Lepisosteus oculatus: one gene and its partner. The protein of the gene in region 1 interacts with the protein of each later gene in a pairwise test. Links are inferred from orthologs where the notes say so. Each region holds a gene or a part of one and is shown on either strand. Other genes may lie near its edges.

Evidence for each region.
Region 2: the proteins of zyx (region 1) and tuft1a interact in binary tests that used the Homo sapiens proteins (3 or more experiments, as listed by UniProt). The link is inferred for Lepisosteus oculatus from reciprocal best matches to the Homo sapiens genes ZYX and TUFT1.

What each region holds. Positions count from the first base shown.
Region 1 is NC_090718.1:2,071,957-2,087,718, reverse strand, and holds the start of zyx (zyxin), read right to left. Parts: upstream 10,993-15,762; 5' UTR 10,622-10,992; intron 10,584-10,621; exon of another isoform or gene 10,374-10,583; intron 8,154-10,373; exon of another isoform or gene 7,770-8,153; intron 6,449-7,769; 5' UTR 6,444-6,448; coding exon 6,215-6,443; intron 5,566-6,214; coding exon 5,345-5,565; intron 3,399-5,344; coding exon 3,303-3,398; intron 2,788-3,302; coding exon 2,020-2,787; intron 1,526-2,019; coding exon 1,405-1,525; intron 611-1,404; coding exon 441-610; intron 1-440. Other genes in the region: fam131bb (protein FAM131B), read left to right, coding at 15,552-15,642. UniProt on the Homo sapiens protein: Adhesion plaque protein. Binds alpha-actinin and the CRP protein. Important for targeting TES and ENA/VASP family members to focal adhesions and for the formation of actin-rich structures.
Region 2 is NC_090722.1:5,738,397-5,753,714, forward strand, and holds the start of tuft1a (tuftelin 1a), read left to right. Parts: upstream 1-9,545; 5' UTR 9,546-9,592; coding exon 9,593-9,847; intron 9,848-10,751; exon of another isoform or gene 10,752-10,851; intron 10,852-11,685; exon of another isoform or gene 11,686-11,710; intron 11,711-11,755; exon of another isoform or gene 11,756-11,981; coding exon of another isoform or gene 11,982-12,074; intron 12,075-12,783; exon of another isoform or gene 12,784-13,984; coding exon of another isoform or gene 13,985-14,008; intron 14,009-14,219; coding exon 14,220-14,297; intron 14,298-14,538; coding exon 14,539-14,640; intron 14,641-15,192; coding exon 15,193-15,279; intron 15,280-15,318. UniProt on the Homo sapiens protein: Involved in the structural organization of the epidermis. Involved in the mineralization and structural organization of enamel.

The DNA of each region.
Region 1 (15,762 bases):
ATGCGTTATCGACCACTCACGGTGTCGCAGTCCTCCAACTGGGGCGTGCCCCCCAGGTGAGTTATTGATTATGAGTTATCGATCACTCACGGTGTCGCAGTCCTCCAACTGGGGCGTGCCCCCCAGGTGAGTTATTGATTATGAGTTATCGATCACTCACGGTGTCGCAGTCCTCCAACTGGGGCGTGCCCCCCAGGTGAGTTATTGATTATGAGTTATCGATCACTCACGGTGTCGCAGTCCTCCAACTGGGGCGTGCCCCCCAGGTGAGTTATTGATTATGAGTTATTGATCACTCACAGTGTAGCAGTCCTCACACTGCCGCGTGCCCCCCAGGTGAGTTATTGATTATGAGTTATTGATCACTCACAGTGTAGCAGTCCTCGCACTGCGGCGTGCCCCCCAGGTGAGTTATTGATTATGAGTTATTGATCACTCACGGTGTAGCAGTCCTCGCACTGCGGCTTGCCCCCCAGGTCGTAGAACTGCAGGCCCTGCAGGGTGCGGCAGCAGCTGACGCACACGAAGCACTCGGAGTGGAAGAGCTTGTCCATGGCCCGCACAGCAGGCTGGGAGCGCGACAGGGGCTGCGAGCAGTGGGCGCAGCAGTCTGAGGAGGAAGCCAGAAGAGAGCGCTACACACACAGACACACGCCACAGCCTCACAAACACTGGAATTCGAATTCCCTCAAAACATAACCTACTCCTTCTCAAGTCAGAACTTAGGCCTCTTTTAGGAATGTGGCCCAGTTTTCAGAGGGTCTACAGCTCCCTGTTCGCCCCCCCTGACTTGCCAGTTTGCCTAGAGCGCCCTCTAGTGGTACAACACTGAAAGTGCAGCTGCCAAGAACGCAAACAGCACTTCAAGCTTCATTATCCTTCAGCTGGGGGGGGGAGATCCGTTTTACGGCTGGGTCCAAAATAAGGAACACGACAATAACAGGATGCACATACATGAAATCCTGATCACCCTGAGCTGAAACAACAGCAAGAAAGTAACTAGTGAACAAAAGACACAAACACATTGCCTCTGAAGGTGCAACCTGGCTTGGAGCCATCAGCACAGACCGTCACACAGGGCTCTCAATGGGCTTATAAACGCAGAGATCAATGTGGTGGATGTAATTAGCGACTAGCCGTCCCCTCCTGCCAACCAAGAGAAGAACAACCAGTGTCGGTTAGACGCTGCCCCCACATGGACACCAGCACTACATTTCCCATCATCACTCAGAACTGTAGGCCCCACCCCCTCCTATTCAGAAGAGGAGGAACTGTGGGAAATGTAGTTTTCTACAGAGATCAGAGACAGATCGGCCGGGAATAGGCACACTAGCACTAGCCCGGATCGAGACTGGACGACATGGGAAAACGCCTGTTCGGCAGTGGAACAGACTCTGTGCTGACCTGTGCTTGGAGCGTGGATCTGAGGAGGGTTCTCCATGTCCTTGATGAACCTCTGAGTCAGTTTCTCCAGCTCCTCCACCTCCCTCATCGAGAGTGGAGCCCCAGAGCCAGCGACAGAGGACTTGAGAGAGAGAGACAGGGCATTATAATAACAATAATTAATACAAATAAATTATAATAATACACTTATATAGCACTCTTCTGCACGCTCCATTCAAAATGTTTAACAACACAGAGTCAGGACCTTGGTTTTGCATTTCAACTGATGGACGGTGGCTTTTTTATAGTAAAGTGCCCCCCCATCGCTAGACTGAGGCATTAGGACCCACCCAGACTGCAGGGTGAGCGCCCCCTATTGATCCTACTAACACCTCTTCCAGCAGCAACCTGCGCTTTCCCAGGAGTCTCCCCTCCAGGTACTGACCAGGCTCACACTTGCTGAGCTCCAGGGGGCTGGCAGTTGTGAGCTGCAGAGTATATATAGGAACTGGCAAAACCATTTCCAACAACAGGAAATTTCACAATAAAGCTCAATTACCTAATAAAGCTAATTCAGACATGGGTTAAGCCGTTACTCATTTAAATGGAATGAAACTTTTTTTTTTTTACACTTACGGTTAGACCTCCTGTTCCCACAGGTGGCTTCTGGGAACTTTTAGCGCCAAACGGAGAGCTCTGATTGGATCGGGGAGCCTGGCTCACAGTTGGAGAGCCACTGCTGTTGGCCGACGCCAGCTGGCTGACAGAAGATGGGGGACTAGAAATGGACGCAGTGGAAGAGGGGACCGAGGTCACAGGTGCGCTCTTGCTGGCTGGCGGGGGCTGACTAACGCCTTGAGTGGAGACACCAACAAATCCGGGTCCAGAGCCCTTATTTGCTGAGGCAGGTTGACTGACTGAGGCCTTATTAGCAGGCAGAGAGGAGAAACTACTGGAGGGGGGTCCCACTGCAGAGGCTGGTTTCTGACTGTTTGAGATGCCGACGCCGAAAGTGGGAGCCGGCTTCGGGGCCACGGAGGGGCCTTTACTGGCCGGCGGTGCTTGACGGACAACCGGGGAGGAGCCCTGATTGGCCGGCGGTGCTTGACGGACAACCGGGGAGGAGCCCTGATTGGCCGGCGGAGCTTGACGGACAACCGGGGAGGAGCCCTGATTGGCCGGCGGAGCTTGACGGACAACCGGGGAGGAGCCCTGATTGGCCGGGGGTCCAGTCTCTCTGATCGTCTGCCTGGCCCGCAGCTCTTGGGCCCAGGGAGCAGGTGGTGGGCGGTCCATGGAGTCAGCAGGGGGCAGGAAGGAGAGGGGAGGCTTTGGGGCCGTGGGCGGAGGGCCCGACGACTTGGGGGGCACCTTGGTAGGTTCAGCTGGCAATGTGCTCGGCAACTGTACAGGAAGAAAAGTAAATTCAGAAAGAGCAGCAGGTGATAGTCCTGTATCGTATATGGATACTCTCACTTTGAAGTAATGCCAAGTCAGTCAACATGACGCAAAGTCCAGTCAGTACACCTGCACTAACTCTGCCATGTTCTCTTCCTCCGATCTGGAATTCTCCTGAAGCAGCTGGCACAGGATACAGATCTGCCTCCCCCTCCATCTACCTACCTACTGTGTGTCACTGTTCATAAGTGAATCACAACTCTTAACCCACACAGCTCTGCACCAAGTCAGCTGAGCTTCGCAAGTGCTGATACAATACTGACTCACAGTATTACACACAGATTTCTAGGTGAAGGGGTGAACCCCTGAATACTGTCACAGTCTGGACACCTGTGAACACAGCAGAGACAGGAAGGAGCTTTAATTCAGACGCACTGATTCACCGCCACACCCCGGCTCTCGGTCTCGTTCGGCGCAGCAGTACCGCCAGCTGTTTCCCTCCCTGCCCCCCCGCTCCTCACCTTGGGATTGAACGGCCCGCTGGTCTCCATCTCCGTCAGCAGGCTGGTGAGCGAGTTTATCTCCCGATCAAAGCTGGTCTGTTTCTCGAAGCTCCTCTGCCCCACAGACAGACAGACAGAAAAGCAGGCGGATAAGTCCGCGTCTGGGCCTCAATCACTCGCCACACGAGACAAAAAAAACACATTCCACGAGCCGTTCGAGTGCACAAGTCGTGGAATCATCTCGATTACATCTGTGCCAGGAAGGTCTGGCAGAATTTCCTTGACCGTGCCGACGGGACCGGTCCCTATAAAGCAGACTATAACGGCGATCGCGATAATCAGTGCGACAAAAATGGGTTTTATAGGTGGCCTCCATATGACTTAAGTTTAATAAGTCATCCAATGCAAAACAGGAGCTGAACTGCAAATCGAGCAGCTCGTAAACAACCCAGAGCTCTGTCCGATCCGTTTCCCATTCCCATGTTTCGCTCATTTCCTCATGGCTTTATCCAATTCGTCAACGAGGGGGAGCCGGAGCCTATCCTGGCCGGCAACGGGCGCAAGGCAGGGCACGCCCTGGGAGGGACGCCAGTCCATCACAGGGCACAGACACAGGTTAACCCACCGGCCTGTCGTTGGACTGTGGGAGGAAACCAGAGCACCCAGAGGACACCCACGTGAACACAGGGTGAACACGCAAACTGCCCGCAGACAGCACCCCAGAAACTGAAGCCACAGCACCAGCACTGCGAGGCAGAGAAGCTGACCACTGCACCACATTAGCTGGTCAGTTTATGGGGGGGAATAGAACTACAGACAATATGGCCACACTATACTGCCTGGCAGGTTTATAGTTTCATATATAAAAAAAGATCCAGACCAGCCCAAGAAAATGAAAAGGCCCTCAAAAGTACAATGTTGTTAAAATGTGTCCAAAGTGAGCCAAAGAGCACACGAGACAAAAACACAGGCAGCAGAAGAATGATTGCTTTCTAGTCCAGGCTTGTTTCTACTGCAGGGCGCCGTTTAAATTTAGGGTCTGAAAACGCAGGGGCAGATTCACGACCTAAGTGGCGCAGGAACCAGTAAGAAGCAGTACCAGCCAGGCGAGCATGCGATACGGGCAGCGGACTCCAGCGCTCGGGAAACCGAGGTCGAAGACTGCGTGAACTCCCGAGACACAGGATGACAAATCGGAGACTTGCCCAACTTTCTCGGGTGACTTTTTGATTTTTTTCCCCACCCACGCGCGCCGAAGTGGCGCACGCGCGCACACACACAAAAAAAAAAAGTTTATCCCGAGTTCCTGAGACTCCTTTCCCGAAAAATCCCGAGCCGTGTCCTTTAGGATCTCGGAACCCCAGCCAGTCCTACATGGCTGAAAAGGTCGGAAATCCTTAACGTCGCCCCTCTAACAGACATGGGGGAGAACCTACTAGATCTTGTGGTATTCCTGGCAGCTGCTTCTCCTTGTTGTTGTTGTTGTTGTTGTTGTTTCCTGGACTGGACTACAAACACTGCTGCGTCACGGCCTGTGACTCTGGAGCCAAGCAGCACAGAAATGTACACTGAACCGGACTCTCCAGAGCACTGCTGCCTCACAGGGGTTCAATTCCTGGGATGTTGTCTGGGTGGAGTTTGCATGTTCTCCCTACGTCAGCACGGGATCCCTCCCACAATCCAAATATACATCTTTAACAAAAAGTGCAACTCTTAACATAACATAAAAGCTCTAGCAAGTGATATAAAGTTCTTAGAAGGGTGATTGTCCACTGGATCTTTTCGAATTGCTCAATCACAGTGTGACCACTGGGTCAGTCGTCCATAGCATTGCTTTAAACCCGTCTTGGCTCTGAGATTGTCCAGAAATATACTGGCAGGTCAACAGCCTTGAGGGAAACCTGTGTGTGAATTTGTGTCTGTGTGCCACGTGATGGACTGACATCCCACCCAGGGTGTACCCTGCCTTGCTCCCATTGCTTGCTGGTACAGGCCCCAGCTCCCTCCAAGACCCCGAACTGGAGGAGGCAGCTGGAAAACGGACAGACTGGTACACTCACCGGAGCATTGCAGGCTGGAGGGAGCGGAGGAGGAGGAGGTGGGGGAGGAGGGAGGCTGCTTTCTGCCCCGGTGGGCGACGGGATGTCCTCAGGAGGGGGCGGTGGCGGGGGTTCTGGAAAAGCAGGGGGTGGGGCCTCTGACGCGGGGGGTGTGGTCTGATATTCTGGGGGTGGGGCTGGCAGGTCAGAGTCATCCAATGGTGGAGGAGGGGGAGGGAATTCTGACAGACAGAGGGAGAAACGGAGCTCAGGTGACAAATGAGGACAGGTTGGTCATTTGATCCAAGACGCTTGTCTGATTGCAAGCGGAATACTGTTCCAAGGATCATACCCAGCTATTTCTTTATGAATCTCTCAGTATCGGCTTCAAAAAGCCGAGTTTGAGACAGGACCTCTGTCGTTAAGTCCAGTGAGAGCTGTACCACTCCTCCAGCCAGTGTGACTGTGCTGGGGGCACAGTGGGGCTCTCAGTGTTGTCAGTGAGAGACACAGCTCCTCCAGTAAGTGTGACTGTGCTGTGTACATTTTGTACACAGCACTACGTTACTAGTGTACATTTTGAAGATATAATCAGTGCTCAACCCTTATTTGCCAGCACAAGGGGGCATCAGATAAATGCAACAAATAGTTTTAGTTAATAATAAAGTGATTTAGGCTCAGTGGGATTACTACAGCTCATATGAATTTACAAACTCCATCTAAATCAAATACTGGAAGAAGGTTCTACAGTCAAAACTGTTTTTTTTCTTCATCTTTATACATTTCATCATGCAATTACCTTTAGTTTATCACACCTATAATACTACTTCCTACAAAACATTTCACGATTCCCCCATCACGATCCACATAGAACACAAGAAGGCTATTTACCTTCTGTCACTGCGGGAGGAGGCGGGGGCAGCTCTCCCACCCGGCCAATCACAGCAGTGCTGGCCACCGATGTATGACTGGCCAAAGGCTGTGACTGGGTGGAAGAGAGTTTGGGGCGGGGCGGAGCCACAGAAGCAAACTTCTTTGGTGCATTGTAGAAGGAGGGGGCGGAGACATTAAAAGTGAGGGTGGAGCTAACCATCACTGGCTTGCTGGAGTCGGACATCATGGACACTGCAGAGGACGAGAGAGGCAGAGGTTAACAATGGCGGCCTACACAGAACTAACCCCAGAGCAATCTCCGACTGCAGCATACGTTGTACGAGAACTGCAGAGGAAGTGGAACAGTGGGGCTAATACAGACTGATAAGGAATTGCAGAACAAGAGGGAGAGAGAGTGGCGATAATATAGCTGGTTAATCAGTGACCAAACTCCACAACGTGTCAGTGCTGAGGGAGTGTGAGAGACGGGGATGGATGTCAATATACTAGACTGGACACTGCAATATATTAACACACGCAATCAGGGAGCATATTTACAACTTTGCCAAGGAAAGGAAGACAAAACATCACACAGACGCAGGGAGAGAGAGACATCCAAGGACACAAACCACATATTTGCCAGACAGTCAGTCTGCCAGTGATAAATCTCTAACAAAACAGTTGTTAGCTATCTTACAGCTTATGCGATGCTATACAAGCCAAACAATAACCCTCCTGAAATACTATTTTCCTTTAAAAAACAAACAGACACATTCCATTATTTCAGCCTTTGTCATCTCGAAAAGAGAAGACTATGAGGGGACAAGACAAAAGCATTGAATACGCGCAAAGACACCGATACATTCAACCCAAGAGACTAGGAATAGGGGGGGGGGGCACCTCTTTACACAGAGGGTGGCGGGAGAGTGGAACAAGCTCTCCAGCCACGTTGTTGAAGCCGACAGCCTGGACACAGACACAGCCGGAAGAGAGACTCGGGTCAATGAACACGAACTCCTCTCTCTCTCTCTCCCCGTGAAGTAACTGTCCTTATGTTCAGTTAGGATCATAACGGCCCGGTAGAGAGATGTTACGGATTCACGAGAGAACAATAACGGGCGGTGACGACCGTTTATTAACCCGGCTGTGCAGCTCCGACCTCGGGCGGGGTCAGACAGCGGGTCCCTGTTCCGCAAAGTCAGCGCAACTCCGCAACAACACCCAGCAACGTCCAGGTACCCGTTTAAAAGACAGAAACTGTACACAGATACACAAGAACCGATTTGCCAGGCGGATTAAGAATGAAAAATAACTTCACTGAACGTAGAAGACAACGCTCCTACTGTATGCATGCTTCTCCAAACAAGTTCATTCTCGTGTTTTAAAAGACGCCACGCATCTCGATGGCTCACGATACCGCTAGCTAGTAACAGTAAAAGTATTCATAACTAGATCACTTCAGATAGTTTCCACCACGGCGATTGCACGCACAAATCGTAAGGATTAACAAGAACTAAGCTGGGGGGAAACTGAGGTATGTGTCTATATGTTACGAAAAGCGGCTTAAACTCACATGGAACTGCCGTGTATCTCCCACTAGATGTGCCTTTCGTCTGCCGTGTAACTGTCCCGGCTTAATGGGATTTCTCTTCCTCTCCGATCGCTTCAGCTCCCGTTTTTATAGCTTTGCTGAGAGAACTTTTTCTCAGCAATTCTGCCCCCCCCACCACCAAGACATTTCCGGCTCGCGCTTCCGCATTTCCGCATCTAACAGCGCCGGCCGCACCTCTCGGGGTCCCGCCGCTTCCTGTGCAGTGACGTCAGTCCACTGATAACTGGGGTTTCGTCACAGCACTCTCGAACTTTAACACACAGAGCTCTCACTGTGTGACTGTGCTGTAGTGTCCAGTCAGTCAGTCAGGGTCACTGTGCTGTAGTGTCCAGTCAGTCAGTCAGGGTCACTGTGCTGTAGTGTCCAGGCAGTCAGGGTCACTGTGCTGTAGTGTCCAGTCAGTCAGTCAGGGTCACTGTGCTGTAGTGTCCAGTCAGTCAGTCAGGGTCTCTGTGCTGTAGTGTCCAGTCAGTCAGGGTCACTGTGCTGTAGTGTCCAGTCAGTCAGTCAGGGTCTCTGTGCTGTAGTGTCCAGTCAGTCAGGGTCACTGTGCTGTAGTGTCCAGTCAGTCAGTCAGGGTCTCTGTGCTGTAGTGTCCAGTCAGTCAGTCAGGGTCACTGTGCTGTAGTGTCCAGTCAGTCAGTCAGTGTCTCTGTGCTGTAGTGTCCAGTCAGTCAGTCAGGGTCTCTGTGCTGTAGTGTCCAGTCAGTCAGTCAGTGTCTCTGTGCTGTAGTGTCCAGTCAATCAGGGTGTGTGGACATTTTTTTTTAATTCTTTTTTGCTCTTTGTGCCCAAAAAGAGAAAAAATATTTAGATCACGTATTGAAAGTCTGGATAGTCTTACATTGTTTTTGGTCTGGATCAGATTCTTTAGCATCAAGCATTTAATCAAATTATTTTTTCCAATATTCATTTATACTACAGTATAAATAAACATAATCTAGAGCACTATGACTAGGTTGTGTCCGGTGTTCATTTTGTTGACAACATTTATGGTGAAAATGTTCCTCAAGGACCCGCTTTTCATTCTAGTTAACAATGATAAAATGCTCAAGAAAATAATCTACAATGATGATAAAAAAAGGTTAAATTGTTTTCCATTTTTGTCTGAGTTAATTAAGACAAGACAAAATGATGTGTTAAACTAAAACTCATACTGGAATCAATTTCATCACAAGGTTCTCCGTTTGTGATTTACTGTCTAACATGTTACTTTCTGTCCACATGGACTAGAAGAGTCTTGAGCCCTGTGACTGGGCTGTCAGTGTGTCCACAGGGACTAGAAGAGTCTAGAGCCCTGTGACTGGGCTGTCACTGTGTCCACAGGGACTAGAAGAGTCTTGATCCCTGTGACTGGGCTGTCAGTGTGTCCACAGGGACTAGAAGAGTCTAGAGCCCTGTGACTGGGCTGTGTCAGTGTCCACAGGGACTAGAAGAGTCTAGAGCCCTGTGACTGGGCTGTGTCAATGTGTCCACAGGGACTAGAAGAGTCTAGAGCCCTGTGACTGGGCTGTGTCAGTGTGTCCACAGGGACTAGAAGAGTCTAGAGCCCTGTGACTGGGCTGTGTCAGTGTCCACAGGGACTAGAAGAGTCTAGAGCCCTGTGACTGGGCTGTGTCAGTGTGTCCACATGGACTAGAAGAGTCTAGAGCCCTGTGACTGGGCTGTGTCAGTGTGTCCACAGGGACTAGAAGAGTCTAGAGCCCTGTGACTGGGCTGTGTCAGTGTGTCCACAGGGACTAGAAGAGTCTAGAGCCCTGTGACTGGGCTGTGTCAGTGTGTCCACAGGGACTAGAAGAGTCTAGAGCCCTGTGTCTGGGCTGTGTCAGCGTGTCCACAGGGACTAGAAGAGTCTAGAGCCCTGTGACTGGGCTGTGTCAGTGTGTCCACAGGGACTAGAAGAGTCTAGAGCCCTGGGACTGGGCTGTGTCAGTGTGTCCACAGGGACTAGAAGAGTCTAGAGCCCTGTGACTGGGCTGTGTCAGTGTGTCCACAGGGACTAGAAGAGTCTAGAGCCCTGTGACTGGGCTGTGTCAGTGTGTCCACAGGGACTAGAAGAGTCTAGAGCCCTGTGACTGGGCTGTGTCAGTGTGTCCACAGGGACTGGAAGAGTCTAGAGCCCTGTGACTGGGCTGTGTCAGTGTCCACAGGGACTAGAAGAGTCTAGAGCCCTGTGACTGGGCTGTGTCAGCGTGTCCACAGGGACTAGAAGAGTCTAGAGCCCTGTGACTGGGCTGTGTCAGTGTACTTGACACAAGCTCGCTCTACATCAATATCAGTGTTAGGTCGTGCATTATGCTTGCAAGTTACAGATAGTGCATATATCTGTCTCTCAGCCAGTCTCCCATTTAGTAGCAAGAGTGTCAGTTTCTTTCCATGTCCAGTATCAGTCATTTTAAAGAAGGTTAAAGGGAATCGCCAAGTAATCCGCACACGCAGCAGGACAGGGGACACAGTGAGAAGAAGGAAGTAACAGGGTTTAGGACGCAGAACTGAAGCAAGCGGTGTAAACACTTGACAACATGAACATGCATTCTCTATGTGATCGAGTCCCGGGATTCACACCTTCTGACTTCCACAGTTGCTTGGCGTGTGGGTCCTGCCAGATGTGGCACCCAGAGGCTCGCTAAATAAAGTTGCCGCGCGTTTCTGACCAGCCTAGCCGGGCATGGGGGGGAGGGAAAAACCGCGACAGCGGCAGGACGGCGACGCTGTGCAAGGGGTTCGAGGCGGCCGGCAGCAGCTGCCGAGCCTGTCCTGACTAGCGTTTGTGCCCGTTAAACAGCTCGTCTCTCTCTCTCTCACTCTCTTACCCTGTGCCAGGCTGCTCAAGACTCTTCTCTTCTGCCTGCTGGCTGCCTAGGGGGCTTGAAACACCGGCGAACTCGTCCTCCTCTCTCTCTGTTCTCTGGTCGGGGGGCTGCGCCGCCGTCCTGGTGGGTCCTGTACTGAACTCCCTCTCTCTCTCCCTCTCCCTCTGTTTCTGCCTCTCGCTGCCACAGCTGTGGCACCACTCCCTCTCCACACCCCCGTCTCTCTCTCTCTCGCTCCTTCCTTCTCTCAGCGCCCCAACAAGTTCCCTCTCGCCGGGAAGAGAGGGCAGGCAGAGGGGCCCACGCCCTCTGGGCAGCCCGTGTTAACTGTGCATCGGGATTATCAACCTCCTTCCCTCCTCCTGCCCCCCTGCTGCTCTCCACCCCCTCTCCTCCCCTCCCCCCCTTCTCCTCCTCTCTCCCTCTCTCTTAATTTGGATTCTTGCAACATTCTTCACGGTATGACATCAGCGCTCTGCCTGCACTTCCTTGTAAGGTCAGAGGCAGAGAGCGAGGGCTGTGTGTGTGTGTGCGCCCGCGCGCGCCCCAGGCAGAGGTGAGGGTTGATGAAGTGCAGGTGCCCCGACTTGCACGGCTCCCCCCAGACAGCGAGGGGGGGGGGTAACACAGGCCGATCGGCCCGCAGCACGAGTCCCTGAAGGCAGACCGTGTGTGTGTGTGTGTGAGCGAGAGAGAGGATGAGCACACGGTGAGTCAATATGAGCTCATCCCTTCAGGAGCAGACCGCTGGACACTGCCCCCGCCCCCCCCCCACAGCCCGCCGAACATCCGCTGTCCGAGAAAGACGAGGGAGACGGCCCAGCTGCTTCTCTGTTTTTTTTGGGGGGAGGTTCAGAAGAACTGGAGACCGGTTACAAACGAGAGGGGCCCACCTGACCCGTTTGGTAGTTAGTCGTTTGTTTTTCCGAGCTTCGCATCCAGCTGAGTCTGGGGAGGAGTCAGGGTCGCAGCTTGTTCCACACCCCCACCACCCTCTGTGTAAAGAAGAGCCTCCTGTCCCGACTGGAGGGTCCCATCCAGCTGGGTCTTGAGACAAGCCAGGCTCACGGCTTGAACAACTTGGCCAGGTAGCTTGTTCCTTTGTGCAAAGAAGTGCTAAGACGTTCCACCCTCCCACCACTCTTTGGGTAAAGAAGTACGTGCTGTCCTGATTGGAGGATCTCCTCCAGCCGTGTCTTGAGAGAAGCCAGGGTGTCGGCTTGTTCCACCCTCCCACCACCCTTTGTGTAAAGAAGTGGCCCTCCCTCCCCCCCTAACTCATTCTCCTTTAAAAAAAAAAACAGTTTCCTGCAGATTCCACTTGAATCCTCGGATATCCTCAGCAGACCCCACTCACGCCCTGTTTCTTCAGCATACGTGTCTCATTCCTGTCTCCAGCCACCCCTCTGCTGCTCTTCTCTGCCTGTCTCTCTAGCGCCCCCTGCAGGCGCCGGTCTGCCATGGACTCTGCTCATCACTCCCTTGTCCCTTTCCAGGAATCCGGATCCATCGTTTCTATAGTTTTATTCTGGCATCTTCAGCTGGGAACTTGGATCAGGATCCCATGAATGTGTTGTGAATACATGGTTTTGTTGTTGTGTCTTCCTCTTTCTTATCATCCTCTTTAGTATCTCATGTTTTCTCTTTCATGGAATTGCAAGTACTCGTACTCCTCCGGCCTGGGTGATTGTTAAGCTGCTTTTTCTCATCGCAATCGCTCAGAAGTCGTACTCTTTCCCTCGGCGGCTCGCGGTCCTGGCCCCGTAATGCGGAACTGGAGGTCGCCCCGGGAGAGAAGCATCTGCCCTGCCAGCCGCACGTTCAAGCCCAGCGGCGGAGGCTTCCGAGGACGGCTCGACTCCGGAGCGTCCGCCGCGGCGCAATACCGGCCGCGTCCACAAGAGCGCAGCATTGCGACACATTTCCGCCCAACCCCCGCGGTCTGCGGCAGCGCCGCCTCCGCACCGGCGCCATCGATCTTCTGAAAACACGCACAGGTGCGACAGGAGGCGCACAGGTGCGACAGGAGGCGCACAAGGAGGAGGAGAAATACTCGGTGTTCTCTTATTTTGGCCATACTGCCACCACGTCTATTAAAACGCCTTTATATTTAATATAAGAGTTAACCCAGCAGCCCCACTGTGTAACAGGTCAGGGGCCGAGGAGAGAATTTAATTCTCCAGTTGAATTCAGGGCTAACTTTACAACAAAGAGCCAACGGGATCTCTAATGAACAAGTAGTCCAGACCTGCGGCTTAACATCTTGCCTGATCGCCATACTGGGGCACTGGACTGGCAACTGTGTCCCAGAGGATCAAGCGTCACCTACTGGTCCACCCACGCCACTCTCAAGCCATTTTTTATGTCTATCAGTGTCAGACACTGAAAAAACACTTATGTGTGGTTTGTGGACACTGTTACCAGTCAATACCAGTTAGACGGTAACAACATTTTGATGCACTCGAATACTTAGACCACAATATCACGGCTACAGCAGTTTAATCACCTAAAACACTCACTGACCAGTGAGGACAGGCTCCGTGACCACAGAAAACTGGACACCGGCAGACCTGGCTGTCCAGAGAGGACAGGCTCAGGGACCACAGTCTGGACAGAGAAACTGGACACAGGCAGACCTGGCTGTCCAGAGAGGACAGGCTCAGTGACCACAGCCTGGACAGAGAAACTGGACACCAGCAGACCTGGCTGTCCAGAGAGGACAGGCTCAGTGACCACAGCCTGGACAGAGAAACTGGACACCGGCAGACCTGGCTGTCCAGAGAGGACAGACTGTGCTCTCCCTGCCGGCAGGGAGAAGCAGAGACAGAGATGCACTTCCTGCTGTGCTGGGAGAAACACACAGGGATTAGAGAAACCTTCTTCCGAACAAATAACAAACCAAATCTCAGCGCTCCCACACCTGCCAGGATCAGTCCTACTGGGAGAGGAAACTGGACAGAGCTGCAGCCCAGTGTGTGATCTCCTGTCCCAGCCTGAGACAGAGCGGGAGCCTCTCAGATCACAATATTGTGTTATTTAACGAAATGTCTGCAAGCATGTTCCCGCGGAGTCCTTGAGCTGGCAGGGCAGTAATTCGTCGGTCATGCCAGAGCAGCTCTGGCAATTGGAAGGGGCAGAGAGAGGGAGGCTTATGAGCAGTACTGGGTTCAGTGCCCTTCTCTAATTCAGAACACCTCTCCTCCCGCACTCCCCCTCCCCCTCTCCTCGCCTCTCCTCAGCAGAATGCTAATCTGTGCATCACAGCATCTTATCTGTTTAGTATGTCTCTGAGCGTCCCTCCCCTCCCTGCCTCTCCTAGTGTGAATGCATAATACGTCCCTGACACCCACAGTCTGTGTGTGTGTGTCTGAGGTGATTCATGTGTGCATGTGTGAGTGTCATCTGCCCTCGCATCTCAGAGCTGACTGTGTCCTCTTCCATTCCCCCTCTCCCTCCTCTGCAGCTCCGATAGACAGACACGCCGACACGCAGGCAGGCAGACAGGCAGGCAGGCTGACAGGCTGACAGGCAGACATACAGGCTGACAGACAGGCTGACAGGCTGACAGACAGGCTGACAGGCTGACAGACAGGCTGACAGGCAGGCAGACAGGCTGACAGGCAGACAGGCAGACATACAGGCTGACAGACAGGCTGACAGGCAGGCAGACAGGCTGACAGGCAGGCAGACAGGCTGACAGGCAGACAGGCAGACATACAGGCTGACAGACAGGCTGACAGGCAGACATACAGGCTGACAGGCAGGCAGACAGGCAGTCAGGCAGGCAGGCAGACAGGCAGTCAGGCAGTCAGGCAGACACACAGACACACAGACTGACAGGGAGACAGGGAGACAGGGAGACAGGCTGACAGACACAGAGAGATTGATCACGGAGAACAGAGAGAGAGAGTACGTGATCTCCCGTCCCAGCCTGAGGAACAGTGAACTTGTCTCACAGTAATGCTCAATATGTAAATATTTTATGATATGTCTTTGTTGTAAATGTCTGTCGAATGTATTTTATTTCTATTTTTTGTTGGGTTTCCTGTTAACTTCATTTTCATTTGCTTCGGCAGCGCTGATTGTACCCATCGGCCCCGCTACTGAAGCACCTTGAGCTGAATGGAATTGATAGAGAGATCTGAGCACGGCGAGAGAGAGAGAGAGAAGAGGAAGGGAGTGGGGAGGAAAGAGGGAGCGGGAGACGAGCCCGGGGGGAGGAGAGGGAGGGGCGCAAACAGGCACACGGAGCGACTGAGGAATACCCTGTAATACAATCTCACAGCCCTGCGATTCCGGATCAATGCGAGGGAGGGGGAGAGAGAGAGAGAGAGTGTGTGTGCGTGTGAGCGCGGGCGTGCGCGCGCGCGTGTGTGTGTGAGTGAGAGAGAGAGAGGTGGAGGGAAACAGCTGTACTGCATTGTAAAACAGACGGGGAGAGAGAGGAGAATCCCCTCACTGCTCTAGCACAACCGACCCCCCGGAAGAGCAGAGCCCAGCCACTCCACTAATAATACCAATTAGCCGAATCGGGATCCGAAGTGCAATTGAGCCAGCTGCCTGCACCGAGAGATTTAATTGCCTTTTATCATTATCACCATTCCTCTCCCCGTCTCTCTCTCTCTTCCCCTCTTTCTCCCCTCCCTCTCCCTCCCTCCCTCCCTCTCTCCGTCCTCCGAGCTGGGAGCCGGTTCTTGGCACTGCAGCGAGAGGGTGGCCGAGCACCCGGCGCAGACCGGCGACCGGACTGGCTGAGCACGCCGCTACATTAACACCGGGAGAGAGAGAGAGGAGGAGGAGAGAGAGAGAGAGAGAGGAATCCACACACCCTCTCACATCCACACGCTCTCTCCCGGAGATACACACACACACACACACACACACACACACGGAGACAGGCACGCAGGGAGACGGAGAGAGGAAGAGATGAATGGGAGAGGGACTGGACTGCTGGCTCTCCGAAGGTTGTGCACAGGCCTCCACTGCCACTAAAATGGGATGCATTGGCTCAAGAACACTGAGTAAGGCTTTTTCCTTTGAACGGGGGGTGGGGGTGTGGGTGGGGGTGTGGTACCAGCCAGCACTGGGGAAACGGGGCAGGGGCAGATGCTCATCTTCTGCTGGGGGGGGGGGTCGCGGAG
Region 2 (15,318 bases), on another chromosome or scaffold:
CTCAAGTCTGTACAAGAAACCCGCCGTGGCCTGAATCTTGTGATTGATTTGACATATAACCTCAGCGTCCTATTTCTTTATGCGTTAGTATGTATTAAGGTCAAACAAGACTCCAAGACGCAGCTTCGCTTTGTCAGAGTCTTTTCTCTGCTCGCAAGCCCGAAACTTGAGAGCCCACCTGCGCCTGCGGATGACGTCACCCGGTCGCCGTAGAAACCAGGTGGGAACGCCGCCGCCCCTCGCGCTTGGTCTGGTTTCATTGCCATATTTAGCTCGAGCGGGGAGGAGGGACCGCGGCGCGCTCTCGCGGCTGGAATGCAGGGGAGCAACAGCGCCGGCGTCACGTGGCTCAGACCCACGCAGCGCCCGGTTTAAGTCCGCCCGTGGGAAACCAAGTCTTTAGCAAACAAACACCGCGGCCTTGAAAAGGAGCGGAGAGAGGGCTGGGCCGAGCCTGTCGGGCGATGAGATTCACGCTCTCCCACCAGGAGCCTCGGAAATCGCTGTTTTGAAACGGTTGAGTTAGCAGACTGCAGACAGCAGGCGGCCCGTATCGTCGTGCAAACACGGCCAGACACAAACTCGCCCCCGTCCGCCCGTCCACACCCAGACCTCGCATCCCGGGACAGGCGGTCTGAGCCGAGCTCTCTGTAACACTCGAGGTCTGCTTGATCGAGTTAATCCGTCCAGTTAAGGCTGGGAAGGGAACTGGAGGATCCGGGGCAGAGTTTTTGGGAAAGTGAATGTTTGGTGAATGTCAGTGTAAAACAAAACTTTTTTTCCCTTTACCTCATACATGTCGTACAAATAAAGGGTATCGCACAAACATTTTGATTTTCTGGATGCAAAACAGTTCTATACACATGTGATATCAGTCATCAGCTGCAACAAAAAATATCTATGTCTAATTAAGTGATTAGGTTAATTGATTAATTGGCTGCTCGGGTCAGACTTGGGTCAGCGGATGTGCTGTGGTATCTGTCACACGTCCGTGTTCGGATTCCTCTCTCCTCACATGGAGGTGTCAGGGCTGTTACGTCTCCCTGAGCTCTTGCATCTCCAAGACCAGGCTCAAGGACTTGGCCTTCTGGCACAGGAGAGGGTTAGAAACAAGCTCACACTGTGTAACACTCACGCTCACACACAGATGCACTCGTGTACATACACTCACATTCACTTGCACACTCGCTCACACACAGATGCACTCGTGTACATACACTCACACTCACGTGCACACTCGCTCACACACAGATGCACTCGTGTACATACACTCACACTCACGTGCACACTCGCTCACACACAGATGCACTCGTGTACATACACTCACACTCACGTGCACACTCGCTCACACACAGATGCACTCGTGTACATACACTCACACTCACGTGCACACTCTCACACACAGATGCACTCGTGTACACACACAGTACACTTGCACACTCGCTCAAACACACTCATGCACTCTCTTGCTCTGACACGCTCACACAGATGCTCCCCTGGAGCAGGGTTGTATTAAACTCGCAGGTGGGACAGGAATTCCACGAGTCGAGTCGCATCCTTGCTAGGACCAGGGTAGCCAGCTGTGGACTGAGGGTCTGTCTTCTGCACCCCTTGCTTTCTCTCTCTCCTTCTGTCCCTCTCTCCGCACTCAGACCACGAGACCGTAACCGAGATTTAGGCTTCCTCTCCGTCTCTCTTGAATTCCCCTTTCGGGATTTCGGTGTTGGATGTGCAATTAAGGGAATGAGATCAGGAGTCCCAGCGGTCATGTGGGGGTGGTAAAACTGAACTGGAGAAATCCACTGGTGCTTCATGCATGCGCACACACACACACACACACACACACACACACACCTTCTCTGCGGCACCCTTTCTTTTTCCAGTGTGGGGGGCAGGGCAGTGGCCTGCTTTCCGAGAGCTCCGGATCTCTCTTCCTTTAGACAGGATCGGATTTCGCTCCCGTCTGCAGAGCGGCAACCCTGAGGAACGTTCCCAGAGGAACGTCGCAGCCGGAGGGAGGCGGGTCACGTCACTGCCCAGTTTCCCGGGAGACAGGGGAAGGACGCACTGCACCGGGAGCTGGTTTGACATTTTATTTTGTCGGCAGGACCCGTTCCAGGCCATGAGGGGCACACTGTGTGGACTGTGCTTTACACCAAGAGTGGCGGGTGTACAGAACAGTCCGCACAACCCAGCAGCCGGAGCCCGCTTCTTGGGATCCTTTAAAAAAAGCTAAAGGGAAAAGAGACCTGCAGACTGATCAAGCTGAACAGTGCTCTTAAAGATGGCCTACACTGTAATAATAATAATTATAATAATTATTGCTTACACTTATATAGCGCTTTTCTGGACACTCCACTCAAAGCGCTTTACAGGTAATGGGGACTCCCTTCCACCACCACCAATGTACAGCATCCACCTGGATGCACTTTTACCCTGATCTAACATGGCTTTACTGCACTGTACTGTGCTTTTACGCTGATATCATTGGGCTTTACTGCACTGTACTGTGCTTTCACCCTGATCTCACTGGGCTTGACCGCACTGAGCTTAAATGTCTTCTTGTCATTTAGCAAAAGCTGTTGTTGTGCAGCAGAGCACCATTAATTACCAATAAGCTGTGATCTCTTAATTGGCCTTCTGCCTGAGCCCGGATTAGGCCTCTGGCAGGCCGGCACAGGAGCACTGTGGTGGGGAGGGGTAGAGAGATTGTGAAGAGCAGACTGTGTGCTGTGGTCATTCCCGCCAGCACTCCTTCACATCGAGGGGACCAGGGTGCTCGGGCCCCATTCCTGCTGCGCCCCCTGTCTTCGGGGCGTTGATTCCCCCCTGTTCTCGGGGTTCACAGCTCATCTGATTATTTAATGAGGTGCAGAACTTTAACCCCTCGAGCCAGGCTGCGTGCTGACTTACAGGGAACTGTAGATCTAATGGAGCCTTGTGTCATCAGAAGTAAAAGTCCCTTATGTGTCTAATTTAGCAAAGAATCCGGTTAATTTGGTTAATTGACTACCCAGAAGCCAGAAGGGACCAGACCGTACCTGACTGAGCTGCGGTCTCTGGTCCGGAGTCAGGGCTTCACCAGAAGACACTGTCAGCTCTGCCCTCGTCTGAGGCTTGACATATCTCCGTCAGGCCTGTGCTCATTACAGACAGCTGACTGCTTCTGTTCCCAGCCTGCTGCTGTTCCGGTAGATGTGCCCTGTAATTGGGATAATTACAGCCTGTGTGTGGTGGGAGCCAGAGTGGTTTTCCCCAGTCGCCCGAAGCTGGAAGAGTGTCCCGACATTGAATTCCTCGGATGTGTCCGCATGGGATTATCAAGGCGATCCTGGGTTTCCTCTGGGAGCCTAGGTGTTTATTTTATGGATACATATGTTTCATGGTTCGCAAAAGCAGGCGTTTTGTGTTTTTACATGTGTAAAACACGTCTGTGCGCAGAACACCTCAGAATTAAGTTCCACAACAGACATTTTAAACCTGGCCTCGGAAAGCGTATTGCAACAGCCTGACTGCTGTCAAAAAATACAGGTAAACCGCTTTTAATTGGAACTGTAATCCCCCGCCGACTGTGGGACATAGACGCATTAGTCATCGCCTTACAACAAGTCATTAAATTACAATAATATAACAATTAGATAAGCATGGTTATTCTAATCCGGGACGTCGGACTCCCGAGTTCCCTCAAGCGGCGCGCAGGTGCGCGCACTCCCGGCCTCGCGCTGCCCGGAGCAGCTGGAAGGGTGAGGTCACGAGGACAGAGAAGCGAGACGGGGAGGAAAAAAAAGCTGCTGCCTTCGGAGAGGCAGAGTTCGCGAGCCCCCAGGTGACGTCAGGCTCCTGGAGAGAGAGAGGAGGGGGAGGGAGCGGACGGCTTTATTCATAAACCTCAGTCTTCGGGAGAGCTGCGGCTTCAACTTCCAAAACAGCTCAGCTCAGCGGGACGAGCGGCGCTCTGAACTTCCCAGAGGGGAGAGGGAAAGAGAGAGGCTTTGGTCCAGGAAGTCAGAGACAGACCCCCCGCACACGGGGCCTCGACCTTGCTGTTGAACACGGGCTGGTCCGCCCGCCCGCCCGTTTCCCGACGGGGGCTGGTTTCTCCGGGCTCTTCCCCCGGCTGCGGGTGCAAGGATGAGCGGCGGCTCGCGGAGTCTGTGCACCTTTGAGGACCTCAAGGCGGACGGCGGCTTGGCGGTGAGTGAGCGAGCAACTTCACCGATAAACAGAGCGCCGTGCGGGGAGCTGGGGCTCCCCTCCACCCCCACCACGGGGAGGCACCCCAGTATGTCCCCTACCAGCGCACTGGCCCGTGTCGGTGTGTCTGCCCGTGTCCGCAGCTCTTTCCAGCCCGGCATTGTTCCGCTCGCCTTTGTTCCTCACCGGGAGGCATTAAAAATGCAGCAGGCGTCACGGGCGGCAGAATATCATATTGTTGGTGCTGGTGTGCGATCACGTCAGGCGCTTTTGTGCCTTTTGTACTTACTGGAAAATGTGGGAAGCGGTCCTGTATCGGGGCATCTGCTGTGATGATGCTGTTGTCCAAGTGCTGCTCGTGTTTCTGGTGCTACTTTTCTGACGGAGAGATGTTACATGTTTTTATATATATATGTGTGTGTGGTGTTTTGCCAATCTCCCTCTCTCTCTCCCAGGGTCTCGAACTTTTTTTTTTCGGTGCTCATTACCCCCCCGTCCGCCCCCTGTCTCTCCTTGGGCGAGGGTACACATCGAGCCGAAGGATTTGTTTTTTTTCTTAAAAATAAATTTTAATTCGCCATAAACATCTCTGAATAAGCACACACTCGTGCAAAGTGATGCAGCCTCTACTGTGTTACAGACGTTCTTAAAAGCCTGGTTGTCCTGTCTCAGTCCGCAAAGGAACAAGTAACAGGTTTATTCCCTGCCGAAAAAAAAGAAGAAAGAAAACGCAACGTTTCGGCCGTGGAGCCTCCTTCAGGCGTGCACAGTGACACCGTCCCTCCGAGCCCTGCCCCTTGCCGTGTCCGTGTGTGTGTTTTCCCTGTCCCGGCTGTGAGACTCCGGTCATCCCGCGCTTAGAGACGGGTCTCCAAGGACATAGTTTTCCTCCTTAGTCCTTGTCGCGCCAGCGAGAAAGGCTTTGTGCTTTGCCGAAGGTACTAATCGCGACAAAGGCGAAATGTGAAAAAACTTCACGTGGCTCTTCGGCTGCTGTGTGGTTGTCGTTGCCACAGCGCTGCAGTCAAGCCGAGTCCCGGCTTCACGGGAGCCACCCGAGGAAGCGAGAGGTCGTGTCGGGGAGCGGGGACTCCGCCGAGTCCTGTAACCGGCTTGCATTCTGGAAGGATCGGCGATCTTCCTGTAGATATGAGCCTACGGCGTGTGTGAGACTCTGCCGTGGGGTTGGGGGAAACACCCGTGTGGAATATTTCTGTCCCTGTCAGTTGGCTCGAGAAGAATTCGCTCTTCTCTCTCTTGTCCTTTGTTTGCGTGATGTAGAAAGTTTTCGTCAGTGTGCTTCCCACGAGAAGCCGGACTTCACTCCACTGTCTGGGGGTACTGATCTAACCCAGTGGATACCCAAGATCTTCTCCCGTTCAGGAGGGGACCCCCTGCAGCCCCACTGATGGACCCACAGCAGCCTCACTGCCCCACACAGATCAGGGGCAGCGGAGAGACACTGCAGGTCCAGTTCGGACCGCGCAAACCCGAAGTGGGGTTCGGCTAAAACGCCGGGGCTGCTCCGCTTTTTGACGACCAGCTCTGGGGTCGGTACTGAGCAAGCAGCCAGGATCTCAGCCCGGCGTCCCGACTGACCCCCCCGGGGGCCCTGCGGGGGAGTCCCACGCCTTTCGCCATTCCTGAACTTATATGTATATGTATGTAACTGGTACAATGAAACTCTTCTAGAAAAGGAAGTCTCTCGATTGTTAAAACAAGTGTAAAAACACAAAGCGCAGACAGTGCGTCAAGATAATATACAAACAAACAGTAGACAATGTACAAGTAAACAAAACAAAACATAATATAGCAGGTGGCACTGGACAAGGCCATCGTGCCTTCCGAACAAAGTAACGTGTCTGACTGCAGAGCACAGCTTGTGCTCGTTGATCGGTGTTATCACAAGGACAGTGAGTGTCCCCACCCCCACCCCCCGCGGTGAGACAGATAAGACTTCTGCCTTCGGCTTCGAAAAAAGGCCCCGTCCTGTCCCGGCGTTCAGCCGGGTCACATTCGCCTGAAGAAAGTAAAACCTGTTCCTGCACTTGATTTCAATATGGAAAGCACGTCTCTTATCGTATTCGCGGTTTGTTTTTTTTCCTTCACGAAGCGATCGCCGCTCTGTCGCTCTCCACGCAACCCGCGTCCTGAGTGGGGTTGCGTGAAAAGCACTGGACAATAACGCGCGCCGTTCCCGCTGTTCATTTTCATCCCGGGACCGCGGAATGGCTGGCATGGCGAGCCAGCTTGTTCCACACTCCCACCACCCTCTGTGTAAAGAGATGCCTCCCCTGTTCTTGGTTTCAAATGTCCTTCCTCGCGGATGAATCCGAAACGTGTTTTTCTGAACCACTTCTTAGGAAGGAATACAGATCTATTTTGATTATAACCGTGATGATTATAACCATCGAAGGTCAATGTAAATGACATTTAAAAGCCAGCCTACAGAGAGAGTAACTTGCTCTCCCTCCGACTTTAATATTTAATTATGGTTTTGTTTGGAAAGTTGTTACTCGAGTTCCCGTCACTGAGCTGTACTGCACTGTACTGTGCTTTTACCCTGATCTCACGGGGCTTTACTGCACTGTACTGTGCTTTTACCCTGATCTCACGGGGCTTTACTGCACTGTACTGCGCTTTTACCCTGATCTCACGGGGCTTTACTACACCGTTGTGACCTTGAACCACTGTAAACAATAGGGTTGCCTACAGTACTGTCCTGGTGTGCCCACATGCTTTGTGTGTGTAAAGGATCGAGTTTCTTTTAGAACAATACCCGACGTGTGATTAGACAACCATAATTACAGGCTATTTTTGACTATGATGTCAAGCAGCCTCTCGGTAAGTTAGCTATATATGTCTTTCAAAGATCCCTGCTGCCTTTCAGCTTTTGGAGTCAATACGAAAAATACAGTCACTCGTTTCTTTGTGCTCTTGCAGTATAAAAATCAATGAAGTGATCAAGCAGGAATGTTTTTCTCTTCGCCAGAGCTACAAAATTGGATTCCTTAAAATTCTTCTGCCGGTTTGAAGAATTTTCCTGTTGATTTTTTTTCCAAAGTTTCCCCCAGACAGAGACCGAACCACTGTGCTGTGGTTTCATTTCCACGAGATGGGCTATCGAGGGAAAACTTGATCCTCAGGCCAAAGGGAAGAGGAGAGGCAGCAGTGTGGAGGAGCGGACAGGGGCTCTGGACTCCTCCCTGGGAGGTTGCGTGTTCAAATCCCAGGGTGGGGGCACAGCAGCTGTGCACTTGAGTAAGGTCACCAAGGAGAGGAGGATCTTCGGCCTCTCCAGCCCGTTCGGTAGCTAGCTGGATGAGATCTTGGGATTAATTAACTACTGTTTCTGGAAAGAAGGCAGGGCATGGGCTTCAACACCACGCCTAGGCAGCGTGATCCACACCCCCACCACTCTTTGTGTAAAGAGGGGTCTCCCGGCCCCCTCCTCGATTTTAAAAGTTATTCCAGATAGTGTTCACTTGTGCCCCCAGGTCCGCTGTGTCACTGCTCATTCTGAAGTGGCATGTGTGTGTGTGTGTTTAATGATATCCCGCCCTCCCCAGACTGCTGGATGTATGCGCTTCAAGCCCCAAGTGTCGTCTTTTGTCGCTTGTAAATCCTGGAGCATCAGCGTCGCACGCACATAACTAAAGTGACTTCATTTCTAATGACTTGCTGTTGTGAATCCCTGCGGGGCGGGGCGTGGGGGGGGGTAATACTTTTAGAAGGATGACGCACGACCGCGGGGCGCTGTTTGCACAGCGGGCTGAGCTCGCGGTCAACACCTCAGAGCGCTGTAAAATGGCGTGAACGCGCAGTTTTACAGCAGTGGCGTTATCTCCGATCGCGGCCCAATAAAACCATTCAAACAGGCGGGATCACGGCTTTACAGCGCCGCTGCGCTCTGGGTTAACAGAACAAAACCGAACCGGTTCTCCCCCGCGGGCTCTTAAGACCGGAACGCCGAACCCTTGCTCGGGGTCGCTTCTGTCTCGGGTGGGAAAATAAAACTTGTACTGCAGGGTGCGAGCCGCCGCGAGCGAGCTCTGAAATCCGTGCGTGTCAGCAGGAGAGACTCACACGGGTGGACGGGGCCTTCACAGGGGTGTAGCAACACGACAGGTCATGCAAGAAATGCAACGGAGTGCAATTCGGGAACAGAAATTGTTCACACACCTGGAAGCTGAGCAGACTGCAAGTACAGTGTAGCCAGTTGCGGCAATTAACGTAAACTTTATTGCATGTATCGATGCACTAACACTTCTTAAACCCGCAAAAAAAACTTTTTTTTTCTGTGTATAAGAGCACGTTTACACGGTGAAACTTCCAACAGGGGTGAAACTGGCTTCCCAAAACAGCCTGCTGTGTCCTTAAGAGTTGAGTACCGTCTGTGAGCCCTGCCTACGTGTCCAGTGTTGCTCTCGGAGTTGAAGGATCTTGTCTCCTGACAGCGGACTCCTGACCGCGCGTGTATTTACTGTGGGAAAGGCTCCCGGCGTGGAGTGGAAGAGGATTAAGGGTTCAGAGCAGCCGCGCCTGCTCGCGTGTGATTTAGGGACCGAGGGGATATTCGGATTATCTCAGGACTGTCCTGCTGCCGCAGGCGCCACGGGAGATGTCCAGGGTAGTGTCGCAAACTTCCCCTGTGGGTTTACCACGCTTGTACCTCGTATTTACGTTGATCACCTGGTGTGTCAAACTTTATTTACCACATTTTTTTACCATAGCTCTTTGCTTTATCGTCACTGTGCTTTTACCCTGATCTCACTGGGCTGTACTGCACTGTACTGTGCTTTTACCCTGATCTCACTGGGTTTACCGCACTGTACTGTGCTTTTACCCTGATCTCACTGGGCTCTACTGCACTGTACTATGCTTTTACTCTGATCTCACGCATGTGGGGAAACAAGGAAAATGTCTCAGCAGTGTTTGTACTACATGCAGTGTATAGAACACGCGTGCGTGGGTCACGCCAGAGTTTTGAGTGGGCCCTCCTGCAGTGTACGAATCAAAAGGAGACCGTTCTTGCTGCGTGCGCGAGTGTCTGGAGGAAGACGTGAGGTTGAAATCGGTATCTGCGCTCGACGCCCTCTCGGTTCGGTTATTTCCTCCGATGACCGGGACGGGCCCAGGGTGGAGTGGAGGGGGGTCCTGTTCTCCGGAGACGCGCTGCCTCTTCCTCGGGTTCAGCGCTTTTCCAGCCTTGGTTTGGCCAAGATGAGATTTTTTGTTGTTGTTGTTGTTGTTGTTGTTGTTTTGGTAAAATGTGCGTTTCGAACCCGAGCTGTTTCGGGCTTTGGCGGCGGTGGGTTATTTTGAAAGACCTTTTTGTCAGGAGGAGCCAACAACCGCTTCACAAATCGGCGCCCGCCTTCTGCGCACCTCGGCTTATATGGCCCGGCCGGAGGGCGCGCTGACGTGTCCCGCTGGCGGCGTCAGAGCACCGTGCCGGAGCACGACCTTGACTGCCGCCGCGCTAAGCCTGTTGAACACTCCTGCGGAGGGGGTTCGGCATCGCTCACGGGCAGTGCTGCTGAGCCCGTCCGCCGAGGCCCGTAGTCACAGGCAGGTTTCCGGGACTGAGCGAGATCGGTGGCCGAATGGAGACGTGGGTACGAAACGGAAGACGTCCCGAGACTCGGTCTGCGTGAGTGTCATTGGACTGCGCTGCAGATAATGGGTCCGTTAATGGCTTAAAGGACTTTAATAGGCCTGAACCGCTGGGCAGCTTGTTCCAGACTCCCACCACCCTAAGTGTAATGAGGGGCCTCCTGTCCTGCTTCTTACCAGATCTGGGTTTAATGTAGGGACATAAACAGAATTGGGCGCCGTGCCTGCATATCTAATCCAGCGGGGGGGGGGGGGGCGACCTGTATGACCGTTACCGCGGACAGAAATACCCTTTTATGAGTCCAGGCTGAGGCCGTCTGAGTTGAGCCCCATTGTCCAGCGGCCAGAGCCTGTTCGTACTGCGCACTGCGACCGGGTGTGTGTGTGTGTGGGGGGGGAATTGTTCGGCTGCTTTTATCTTTTTTTTTTCACGTGTTGCACACAGCAGTTTATGCAACTTTCGAGTTGTACCACGTGGCACTGATGTCCATATCACACCCTGAGCGCCTTTGCACAGACAGACAGGTGTCTCGGGAGGCTCCAGCGCGCGCCAGGAACATTCCACACCGCGCTTCCGTCTGATTGTATATTTTGACCCGCCCAGCGCGGTGTCTAACCAGTCCGTGTAGCTTATAAATCTGTCCTCTCGGTCTTCCAGAGAACCTGTGAAACCCGAGCCGTTCAGAAATAAAGCAAAACCCTTCCAGGAACGCCAGGCACGGCTGTTTTTTAAAAGGGCTACCCAGAAAAACGCCGTGCCTCTTTCCTGTGAAAACCAGCTCCCGGATCACCTCCATGGAATGCAAATACAGCAGAAAGGAATGCGGCAGAGCAGGGGGAGCTGACGAGGGGTTAATGATTTAATGAGGTAACTTTATTCCTCATCGGGTTGCTAATGCGCCGGAGGCCGGAGGCGTGGCGCGCGGGGACTGAGACGGGGAAGATGATGATGAAGAGTCATCCGCACGCGGGCGGGCTGAGGGAGCGGAGGCAGCCGAGCGCGCGGGGGGATCCGGGGGGACCCCGAGCAGAGCGAGGCGGGTAAGCGGGGGGCTGTCGCGTGCCTGCGTGCCCGGCCAGGGGACAGGCGCGTGTAACTTCGGGTGTTGCCGCGACGTGGGAGCGAGATTATCGCGCAAACTGGACCCCCGGTAGCGCGTCTTTCTCCTCCGGGTCCGACAGCGCCTTCCAGCTCGGGGACCGTGCAGACAGCTGTTGACATCTGGGCCCGCCGCCGCCGCCGCCGCACCAGTTAGGGGCTCCACACCCATCACTTGTCCAGTTAATAAGCAACCGCCTAACAGTGTGGACTATTTCAGGGGTTTTTTGATCCTCCTAAGTGTATATGGCACACATCATTCTCTGTCGGCCGTAAGCCGCCGTGACGCTTGTAGCGGGAGAATGAATACTGTTAACGTTGGTGGGCGCTGGTCTTGTGTCGACGCGGAGGTTAATCCGAATCTGCAGTCTTTCCAAACCGCCAGCGGCTCATCCCCCGCTCCCGGCGCGGCGCTCTGGAGAGTCCGGGCTCGGTCTTAAAGGACCAGCAACCGGGAGAGCGTGCAGACTGGACATCAACATCCGGTGTTTGGGGGAGGGGGTCCGGTCCAGAGGACGGGAGAAAGAGGACTTATCGATCAGAGCTTTTCGGTACCGAGCCACCCCGCTGGAGTGCGGGCCGGGAGCGCGCTGGAGAAAAGTTTATTGCTAACAAGTCCGTCAGACCCGGGAGCGCGCGGGTCACCGGGACTCTGCCCGGACCGCCGGTACCGAACCACCGCCGAGACCCACACCTTGGGCGTGTAGCTCGCGTACGTAATGGGTGGATTCTTTCCTTTGCTTTGACTAGACAGCACGGCAAGTCCAGACGGGCGTGTTCATCTCACTTCCAGGATCAAAGGTGGGGGAAAACAAAACTATTTTGTAGTTTCTCCTCAGAGCAGTGTGTGTGTGTGTGTGGAGGACGGGGTGAAGCCAGGGTGCTGACCCCGTCACTATGCGGTGCCGGGGTTCGTTTTGGACCAAGCGCCGTGGGCCCGAGTTCGGACTGAAGCCCGCAGACAAACGCAGTCCGGGTTACCTCTCCGGGCGGCGGGGATGAAAGTTTCATATAATTGAATACAATAGCGAATGCACAACACGTGACTGTGCGATAAAGGAGTTTTTGTTTTATGTCCGAACGGACGTGGCCAGGAACACGACAGGACAGAGAAGACGTGTCCGAAAACCGGGCGGAGGCTGCAGGGCGAGGTTCCGAGGCGGAGGTGTGAATTTCTTCAAGGGCGGGGGGGGGAGGGCCCCAACACTCAAGAACTTTAGAGGGATAGATAAGACTTTATTGATCCCGAAGGGAAATTGCATGATCTGCTTATCAGCATTATCTGCTCGACCGCTGAATTGCAGGCGTCGCCAAAGCTCAAACTCCGGACCGGGCGCGTGGTTTCGCGATTGACAGGACGCGCAGATCTCGGGGTAACCCCGACCCCCCTCCAGCTCCGAGAGTCTCCGTGACAGCGCTGCCGACGCAATAGCAATTAGCAGAACAACTGCGACAACAAAAAAAAATCACATTACTGTCCACCTCTCCCGTTCCTGCTGCTGCTGCTAAGCGCTTATTTTACGACCCCTCATCGTCAGGCTTTAAAGTTTAATCTTGGCAGCTCCGGGCCTCCTCTCGTGAGAAGGGCTCGTTAAGCTGACAGGCGGCGGGCGCGGTCGCTAGGCAACCCGACTGACAGACGGGACCGCCCGTGCGTGATCGTGGCCCCGTGCGCGCCCTGGGGGAGGGCGCGCGTTTGTTCAGCAGCAGAAGCTCTTACCTGGGGCAGGGGGCTGGAACAAGACGGACCAACGGCGGTGCTCTGCTTCGCTCCGGGGGGTCCCTGCAGTGCCCAGCCAGCCCGGAGGAGACAATCTCACCAGTGCACTCCGGCTGTCGGTCCCAGCACAGTCACTCGCACTGTGGGGAGGGGCAGGTCCTCTGTGGAGTCTCTGACCGCCCAGAGGTTCTGGGGAGAAGGGGAGACCCTACTTTTGTCAACACGCTGTACAATCTGTACTGCTGTGTACCCCAATTTTCACCCCCTCCAGAAGACCTCAGAAAAGACGTCCTTAACGAGCAAATAGGTTGAGATGCAGGGTTGTACAGTAAGGAATTGGCAGCTGGCAGGTGTTGAATGTAGACAAGTGTGGAGCGGCACTAGGAGCTGGCGGGGTCCCAGACTAGTGATGTTGTCCCCAGAGGGGGGAACCGTGTCAGAAGAGGCCGCTTATGAAAAAGACTCGCGTGTGTAATTTGATCCATCATTTACATCTTCTAGACAATGGAGAAGCTGTGAACAGGCAAGCGCAGAGCTAGGCTGTTTAGTCAGAAGCGTAGAATGTAGATCAATAGGATGTTGTTAAAATGGAATAACACACTGGTACTGGCTCATTTAGGACTATGCTCATGCTATAGGAGAACATACTGCTGCTTTCAGTCAAGAGAAGAGCAACTAGATACATTCTGGACCATTAAGAGAGTGTCCCACACAGACAGGCTGGAGGAACAGAGTCTCTTCAGTCTGAAGGGAGTGTCCCACATTGACAGGCTGGAGGAGCTGAGTCTCTTCAGTCTGAAGGGAGTCCCCCACACTGACACAGGCTGGAGGAACTGAGTCTCTTCAGTCTGAAGGGAGTCCCCCACACTGACACAGGCTGGAGGAACTGAGTCTCTTCAGTCGGAAGGGAGTGTCCCACACTGACAGTGGCTGGAGGAACTGAGTCTCTTCAGTGTTGACTTGAGCAGACTGGAGAAAACGGGGTCTTGTTCACACATTCTTCAGGATGAACCATGAAGCACAAACAAGTGGAAATGATGAGGAAGTGAATTAAAAACCGAAAACAGGAGGCCCTTCCTTACACTAAGAGTGCTGGGTGTGTGGAACGGGTGCTGAAGCCCCTACCCTGGTTTGCCACAGGGCCGGGCGCGCTCCTGTTCGGACACGTCTCCCCCGGGACGGATGAGCGCGAGACGATTACACAGGCGCAGCAGAAACAGCTGTTCGGGCGCAGCCGGCCAGATGTGGCCAGACGCCACCGTCGCCTGCGGCTCTGGGGGCTCCCGCGGCGCCCCGCGATCCCGACGCCGGGGCTGGGAGGGAGGGACGAGTCGGGAAGCCCCGCGGGTCGGCGGATGACTAACGCCAAACATTTGCCGGTAGTCAGCGCCGGCCTGTCCCAGCATGCCGCAGACAAAACCGTTAAAATTCCTGCGGCTGGCTCCAGCCTCTGCTGTGTGTTTGTCTTGGGTGTTTTGTTTTCGACATTATCACGGAAACTCCTTCACAGGCAGGTCAGCGGATCTGCCCGCGCTCTCCCTGTTTCTCCCTGTCCCTGTGCTGCACTGACTCCCTCTGCTCTGGTTCCAGGACGGAGTCCGGACCGTTCGACTCACTCTTCAGGACCAGAACCGGGCCGGCTTGAACCAGGAGCTGCCCAGGGGCAAGGTAACAAACGGGCCGCCTGAGGCTTCGCCGAACCTGTTTTTTAAATGTTTTTTTGTAGCTCCTTCAATCAAAGCGCTTTCCAGATAGATATTTAAGTAGAAAAAAAGTAACAAGTGCGAGTGCGTCTTTCAGATCGCAAACTTCACACTGTCCTGTGAAAGTCCGGTTTGATTCAAGTCCCCAGTCCTCCCTCTGACTGCCCCTCTAGTCTGACATCTGTCCCACCCTTCTCCTTTTCCAGCCAATCGGCAGGGCCTTTGCGCTGGTGCAGTCGGCCAATGGGAGAGAGCCCCTGAACTTTGAGCCAATCAAACCCACCGAGGAGAAGGTCGAGGTCATCAAGGTGGGTGTGCGGGGGACAGAGAGAAGGGGGGGGGGGGCAGAGGACAGCAGGGTGCTGTGTGACCCCCCCCTGGGAAAATGACCTTGATATTGCGGGACAGCGCAGGGGTCCTGGCCTCCATTCCGGCCCCCTGGGGGAGGGGGGTGCTATCCGTATGGAGTTTGCATGTTCTCCCTGGGTTTGTTGTGTGGGTGCTTCTCTGCTGTTTCCACCCACAATCCAAAGACGGGCTAGTGGGTGAATTAACAGATGGACTGGTGTTCCGGTCCGGGGTGTACCCCGCCCTGCGATGGACTGGCGTTCTGGTCTGGGGTGTACCCCGCCCTGCGCCTGGGGCTCGCCGGGATAGACTCCGGCTGCCCCCACACCCCGATTTGGAAGGAGAGGTGGGGAACTGGACAGAGAGTGGAGATGGCCGAGCAGCTTGGCCCAGTCAGGGCCGTGTTGCTGGCTGCGCTGGAAGACACACACACACACACACCAGGGGGCGTACCCCTGCGGAGAGACTCGGGGTGGAGTGTCGCAGGCTCAGACTGCTCCGTGCTCTTGCAGGTGTACCTGGAGGCCCGGAGACAGGACCAGACGCTGCACGACGAGAGCCTGAAGATGCTCTCAGACGAGGTCTCCCACATCCAGGAGGTAAGGGGGGGTCCTGACTGCCCCTCCGTTCCGCCGGAG